Linked DNA regions of Oryctolagus cuniculus. The protein of the gene in region 2 purifies or fractionates together with the protein of the main gene of each other region. This does not show direct contact. Links are inferred from orthologs where the notes say so. Each region holds a gene or a part of one and is shown on either strand. Other genes may lie near its edges. The genes, in order: VPS33A and TGFBRAP1.

Region 1 (3,805 bases), on a different chromosome or scaffold from region 2:
CAGGACAGAGGGAGGCCTGAGCAGACTTGCGCTGAATCCCACGAGCCAAACACACCGAGGGACAAGGCGGGCTTTATCCTCTAAAGCAGCTGAGGCTGGAAGCATAGACGAATCTCCCTGGGAGAGCAAGTATTGGAAATAGGCTTTCCTAAAGAATGGTTTTCCATTTTAGAAACAGTTTGGCATGTCCAAATACTAAATGTCAAAGCCAAATTAATTTCATGAGAAGCTCATATTTTAAATATTACCTCCACCACACTTCATTCTTATAATAAAGTGATTAAAAACAAAAAACAAAAACAACATGGGGCGAGCTTTGAGATGAAGTTAAGCCACCCCTTTGGTCACCCCGCATCTCATGTCAGAGTGCCTGGGACTGAGTGCCATCCCCACTTGGGATCCAGGTTCCTGCTAAGGCACCTGGGAGACAGCAGATGGTGACGGCCCAAGTACTTGCAGTCCTGCCACCCCTGTGGGAGACCCAAATGGTCTAGTTTCAGCCTGGCCCAGCCCTTGCTCTTGCAGGCATTTGGGGAGCGAACCAGCAGATGGAAGATCTTTCTCTAATGTTCCTTCTCTCTGTCACTGTGCATTTCAAACCAATAAATAAAGCTTAAGAAACACAGAACTTCTGTCCTACTCATCAGATGCAGTGTAGTGCACTCATCAGAACTCCACCCATGCAAAGGCAGGGGAAATCACGTGGTTCTGATGAGGGGCATAATGTGCAAAGGCCCACCTGGTTCTGGGGACGTGGGCAGGGGCCATCAGCGTGGCCCCCTTCTCCGTGCTCTTCACTCCTCCAGTCCCTGCTGTGGAGCAGGAGGGAGGTAGGGACACACAATGGATTCCAACACTCCACCAACCCCACTCTCAACCACAGCCTAAGAGTCTCCTGCAGCAGGAGCAGGAGCTGCTGAACTCCAAGGTCACGGAGGGGACGCATAGCAGAAGCTGAGGTCACCAGACCAGGGACGGAAACACTGGGCTGGATGTTTACAAGCCAATGGATGTGGGGAGAAAGGCAGGAGGTGGTTACCAGGGAGACGGACCTGCCAGGCGCTGAAGCAGCAAGAGTCATCCCTGTTGAGGGAGGGACGAGCTGGACACTGGGCCCAGGATGGATGGACACAGAGAAGGACTGAAGGCTCAGCAGAGGCACCTGCCACGCCCAGTTCCGGAGGCAACATCGCGCCTCACTGGACGGTGGCATCGCAGAAAGCTGCTCCCTCAGCACCATGTTCTTGAGTTTAACCTCCGGACACGCAGCTTGCTTTCTCAGAAGGACACGACAGAGACTGGCGACACGGCATACAGTGTGCCGCCCGAGGGAACTCTGCCCAGTGCAGGAGGAGCTCTTGCCCGAACAGCGCTGTGTGCTGGGGTGGCCCTTCCACTCTGAATCTCACTTTCACCCGGGCCCCTGCGTGCAGCCTGCCTGCAGCCCAGGGGCCGTCTCTCGCTACCCCCCTCCCGTATTTCCAGCCACCTCTACTGAAGACCCTCAGCTGGGAAAATGCAAACTCAATTTCTCTTTTACCTTCTATTTCTTTTCCTTCCTATTCTTCTTTCTTCAAGAAATTAGGAATATAAAGAGAGAAGCAGGAAGGAATACGCAGTAGTATAACGGAGGAAGCTGGCCCCAAAGTAAGTGCTGTGTTCCTGTTTTCTTCCACGGGGTTTCATTTCCTCTCTGCAACTTCTTCAAAAAGGGTTTCCTGCACGCGCTAGAACGGTCTCTCCATCAGAGCCTCCAGCCAGCTGGTGCCGTTCATTAGCTTCGTGGTGGCGATGACGTACTCCGTCCCTCCATCCTCCAGCTGGGAGAGGAACCGCAGCGCCGCGATCTCAGCGAAGGTCACACCCCCGAGGAAGAACACCAGGGTGACTCGGTTTTCTCCTGGTTGACCTAAAATGTGAACATTTCAGAATTAGAAACTATTATTGGTGCTTCTCTTTCCACTTTTTATTTATTTTTAAAAGATTATTTATTTATTTGCAAGTCAGAGTTACAGAGAGAGAGGAGAGGGAGAGAGAAAAAGAGAGAGAGAGAGGTCTTCCATCCGATGGTTCACTCCCCAGTAGCTGCAACGGCCGGAGCTGTGCTGATCCTAAGCCAGGAGCCAGGAGCTTTCTCCGGGTCTCCCATGGAGGTGCTGGGGCCCAAGGACTTGGGCCATCCTCCACTGCTTTCCCAGGCCATACAGAGAGCTGGGTTGGAAGTGGAGCAGCTGGATCTCGAAGCAGCGCCCACATGGGATGTTGGCGCTTCAGGCCAGGGCGCTAACCTGCTGCACCACAGCGCCGGCCCTTCTTTCCACTTTTTAAAACATTTTATCACTAGGGCTGGTGCTGTGACATAGTGGGTAGAAGCCGCCATCCCATATGGGTGCCAGTTTGAGTCCTGGCTGCTGTGCTTCTGATCCTGGTCCCTGCTAACGCACCTGGGAAAGCAGTGGAAGATGGTCCTACTGCCTGGGTTTGTGCCACCCAAGGGGGAGACCTGGATGAAGCTCCTGGCAAACGGCTTTGGCCTGGCCCAGTGCTGCCCTTTGTGGTTATCTGAGGTGAGAACCAGTGGATGGAAGATCTCTCTCTCTCTCTGTCTCTCCCTCTCTGTGTAACTCTTTCAAAGTAAATAAATAAATCTTAAACAAAACCATTTTGTCCTCCACATGGATGAAAAGGCAGATGCGTCTTGGAAGACGCTGCGTTTGAACCTCACACACACCGATCTGCAGCTCCAGGCTTTTCCTAACTGCGGGTTCCTCCACGCAGAGGCGGGGGCTGCTGCTCCCGAGGGAGTGACGTGGTTCTCGCACTTAACGACCACGAGAGCGGTCCTGGTCCCAAGCACGTGACGCAGCAACTGCACGACACACCCACCGCGCCACACCTGGCCGCCACTCACGTTTCTTCTGCAGCCCTGTGGGCAGGGGCTGCCGCTCCTCGAAGTGGGGCCCCGGGAGGATGCGGAGGACCTCCTCGATGCTGCGCCAGCCGGGCCGCGACAGCAGCTGGGCCAGCCGCACGCTGAGCGGCGCGTAACCACTGTACACGTAGGATATATCAGTAGGGTTCTGTTAAAGAAACAAACGGAAGCTCGGAGACTCGGAGACGTAGACTACGAACTGCGGCTGTTTGGGCAGTCCAGAATTATTTGATTTGTATTTGAAGGCAGAGATACAAAGCCTGTCCCCCTCTACACACACGTACACGCACACGCACACACACGCACACGCACCCTGTGCTTGCTCCGATTCGCTCCACTCCAGCTGCGCGGTTCTTGGCAGCCAGAGCTTCCCTTTCGACTCCGAAGCCGGGCAGTCAGCCCCAGGTTCCGCACAGGAGAACTTGCCATTCTGCTTGACAAGAAATTCCCTGGGGGTAACTGAGCGCACTCTCCCCAAGTAACATCATGCACGACCTTTGAACCCAGCACTGTACTTTTAGGGTACTTTGGGCTTTTCTCCTACAGAAGTGTTTGTAGGCCCTAAGACAGTGGACAGAGTGAAAGCGCAGGAACTGAAACACTGTATGGAATGGCAAAAGGCTGGACACAACCTCAACCTCTATCTGCTAAATCCTAAGCTATATCCTCAAAACTACTAAGTAGCCAGCAACTACAAAGAAATAAGGAGGAGAAGGGGGAGACCACAGGAAATCTTCAAGACCCCGTAAGCGGTGGGGAAGTTGAAGACAACCGGAGGCCGTCCAGCGGGGCTGGGTCTGTGAGCCCCTGGCAGATGTGGGCAGCAGGCGCATGCCGAGGCTGGGAGGCGGGCATCCTCCCCACCGCAGCATC
Region 2 (3,805 bases):
AGCCAGCCAAGTAACTGTAGTTACAGTACTACATTGCTTTTCAAATATTACCGACTTACGGGTTTTTCACAAAGCACATGCTTTTCTCATGACTCCTCCTCCCCTGTCTCCCCCCATCTCACCATGTGGATTCTTTACCCAATATTCTTTGTTGCTGTTTAGTTTCTCTCTTGTGCTAAGCAAAGACAGTGGCTAGAATTTTGGTTGTGGAGGTCTGAAGCTTGTCTATTTCTACCATGAATTCATATTCCAAATGGGAGAATGGCTGTGTCCTGGCTTTTTCAAGGACTGCCATGACTGATTAAGCAATGAAGGATCAAGTTTTTTTTTTTTTTTTAAAGATTTGTTTGTTTATTTGAAAGGCAGAGTTACACACACACAGAGAGAGAAACAGAGCGAGAGGTCGTCCATCTGCTGGTTCACTCCTCAAATGGCCACAATGGCCAGAGCTGAGATGATCCAAAGCCAGGAGCTGGGAGCTTCTTCCAGATCTCCCACGCAGGTGCAGGGGCCCAAGCACTTGGGCCATTTTCCACTGCTTTCCCAGGCCATAAGCAGAGAGCTGGATGGAAAGTGGAGCAGCCAGGACACGAACTGGTACCCCTATGGGATGCTGGCCCCGCAGGCAGAGGCTTAGCCTGCTACGCCACAGTGCCGACCCCAAGTTGTTCTGACACCTATGAGAGGACAAGTGACGACGAGAGTCATTCCTCCCCTTTCTCCTGCCTGAATCTTTCTGGAGTGCCTCTGAGGTCCCCTAGCATTTGCCAGGCCGCCTCAGAGGATTAAGGAGTTGAGAGTCTCTCCGGAGGCAGCCTCATTCCCTCTGGGGCAGCTTGAAGTGCTGGAGAAAACTTTTCTGATGCAAACCCAGCCTGCTTCTCCCAGGCTTCCACCAGGCTTGGCAGCGTGGCCTAGAGCTCCCCAGGCCCCTGTGCCCCTGTGCGGGCTGTCAGGGGCTGCGCCTCTGAGCCTGCAACCCGACAAAGGCAGAAGGGCCACCCTGCTGCCTGTTCTGCTGTAGAACTGGGACCCCTTGCAAAGGAAGAAGCAGACAGCCAAGGGTCCAGCTTGTGGCACAGTGTCCCCCTTCTGCTGGAGGTCATCTGATTGCTACCAGGGACCTGCCCACAAAGCCGCTCACTTGCTACCTAAAGACACGGGAGACTGAGACACACCTGTATGACTTGACATGAGCGTGCTTACCTGGGGAGTGGAATACGGAGCTGGGGCCAGTGCGCATGCCTTCCTGGGAAGAACACAGAGGAATTCGAGGCCTCATCCTGCCTCTGTGTTTGCCAGCAGGATCCTGTGGCTGTGTCCCACCATTCGCTCAATGCAACTACAAGTAGCTGTACAAGTTCAAGGGGAAGATGGATGAGGCTCGAGCCTGCCTTTTCTGAGAGCTTTTTGTCAGGTTGCCTGGGGGTGCCTACATGTGCTTGTCCCCGGGGTGCATACATGTGCTTGTCCTGTACCCACAGGAGTGGCTCCAGGAGCAATGGGAGGCGGCTCTGCGTGAGTCTAGGCTGTGTTGGGAGTGAGCCTGCTGGCGCCAATCAGAAGCACCTGCGCACACGGGGGAGGTGGCAAGGAAAAATTTGCCTTCTGAATCGGTGCAGAATGATGTTTCATTGGCAATGGGGACTGGAGGAGCTGGGTGTCCTGATGCTTCTGCTTCCGCCTTCTCCCCGCTAACGTGAATTCTCCCCCCGTCTCTTCCTGCAGAGAGCCCGGCAGGCATGATGAGCATCAAGGCCTTCACCCTGGTGTCTGCCGTGCAGCGCGAGCTGCTGATGGGCGACAAGGAGCACATCCACATCGCGTGCGTCGAGTGCTGCGGCAAAAACCTGTACGTGGGCACCAACGACTGCCTCATTTACCACTTCCTGCTGGAGGAGAGGGCGCTGCCCGCCGGGCCGGCCACGTTCACCGCCACCAAGCAGCTGCACAGACACCTGGGCTTCAAGAAGCCCGTGAACGAGCTGCGGGCAGCCTCGGCCCTCAACAGGCTGCTGGTGCTGTGCGACAGCTGCATCACCCTGGTGCACATGCTGAGCCTGGAGCCCGTGCCCTCGGGGGCCCGCATCAAGGGGGCCGTGAGCTTCGCCCTGAACGAGAACCCCGTGAGCGGGGACCCGTTCTGCGTGGAAGTGTGCATCATCTCCGTGAAACGCCGAACCATCCAGGTGTTCCTGGTGTACGAGGACCGGGTGCAGATCGTCAAGGAGGTGTCGACCCCAGAGCAGCCCCTTGCCGTGGCTGTGGATGGCCACTTCCTGTGCCTGGCCCTCACCACGCAGTACATCATCCTGAACTACAGCACGGGGGCCTCCCAGGACCTGTTTCCCTACTGCAGCGAGGAGAAGCGGCCCATTGTCAAGAGGATAGGGACACAGGAGTTCCTGCTGGCGGGCCCGGGAGGGCTGGGTGAGGACATTGCCTTAGAGCCGCTGCCCCGCCCCCTCCCTCCTGGGTGGGGGGGTGGGGGGGTGTCCCAGGGGTGAGGCTTTAGCTGTGAAAAGGTGTCGCTCCCCCTCTTCGTGGAGGAACGACACAGGACCCTGCGCTGTTCTTTCGTCTGCTCGGCCCTCCCCGGGTTTGCTGCTGGTTCTTCCCGGGTTGGCTACTATCCCTTCCACCTCCGTGGAAGGGCAGTTCCCCCTGGCCGCATTCCCCACTTCCGCAGGGGAGCGGCACACCGCCGGCCGGCTTTCTCGGGGGCTGCACGGGTTCCCTTAGATGTTCCCCATAGATGTTCCCGGTGCATGCCGTCTCTCTCCTCCTTTATAGTCCTCCTCCGCCAATCCCAACTCGGCTGAGTACGCTGCTCTCCAATCAGGAGCAAGTCCTACAGTTAATTGGTTGAACTGGAGGCAGCTGTGCGGAAGCTGTTTACTTCTCTCCCAGCGCCATATTGTGGGAGAGCAGATGCATAGAATGAGTCTTAATTCGAGTAACAGTCTAGTCCGGTTTGCTCCCCACAGATCCCCCTTTCTTTTTATTTTTTAGCGTTGATACGCGCCTGTCTTCGGTGTCCCGCGGCACACACTCTGCTGTACTTGCTAGAGTTGCCACAGGCTCTTACAAGTCCTATCAATCAGGAAAACCGAATCCGGGTCCTCTCTTCGCCATTGTGAGGAGGTTTTTAGGCGCTGATGCGTGCCTGTGTTCGGTGCCCTGCAGCGCATGCTCTGGTCGAGCCTGCAGGGGCTTACAAGCTCTATCAGGCAAACCGAATCCAAGCCTTCTAATTGGCATGTTGAGGGGAGGCCTTATTTTTCTCTATTTCTCTATCTCCGGGCATTCCTACCTCTCCCATTTCACTTCTATCTTCCAGCATTCCCATTTCTCTTTTACTTCACTTCCAAACTTCTGTTTCTCTTATCCCTACGGCTTTCCGGCACCTCGCCCCGCCGGCGGGTTCCCGGCTCTGCGCCGCTTCAGCCCGCGCGCCTCTCTGCGCGGCTTCCCGGCTTTGCGCGGTCCGCGGTCTCCACGCTTAACCCTTTCGCGTCTGAACCACGGCCTACGCCAGCGTTCCCTATCTATTCACGCCCCGTGCTCTCTCTGCACGCGGCGGCTTCCGCGAGTAACACAGCGTAGCTTGCGTCTCCGCCACTAGGATTCAATCTAAGTTCCCCGGGCTAGCCTGGCGAATTCAACCCAGCGTACGTCTCCGCCCCACGATCTGGCTTCCCGTCCTTTGCTCCCCGGGCTAATCAGACGGATCCCAATCTGGCTTACGTCTCAGCTTCTGGTTTTAACTTTTCGCCCCCTATTCCCGGGCTAACTTGAGAATCCC

The links.
Region 1: the proteins of TGFBRAP1 (region 2) and VPS33A purify together in Homo sapiens (co-immunoprecipitation; 5 studies listed by BioGRID and IntAct, with this or other methods). This does not show direct contact. The link is inferred for Oryctolagus cuniculus from reciprocal best matches to the Homo sapiens genes TGFBRAP1 and VPS33A.

The regions. Positions count from the first base shown.
Region 1 is NC_091452.1:6,888,669-6,892,473, reverse strand, and holds part of VPS33A (vacuolar protein sorting-associated protein 33A), read right to left. Parts: intron 3,081-3,805; coding exon 2,912-3,080; intron 1,910-2,911; coding exon 1,728-1,909; 3' UTR 143-1,727; coding exon of another isoform or gene 1-142. Other genes in the region: uncharacterized protein, read left to right, coding at 1-142.
Region 2 is NC_091433.1:103,288,634-103,292,438, forward strand, and holds part of TGFBRAP1 (transforming growth factor-beta receptor-associated protein 1), read left to right. Parts: intron 1-1,728; 5' UTR 1,729-1,742; coding exon 1,743-2,430; intron 2,431-3,805. UniProt on the Homo sapiens protein: Plays a role in the TGF-beta/activin signaling pathway. It associates with inactive heteromeric TGF-beta and activin receptor complexes, mainly through the type II receptor, and is released upon activation of signaling.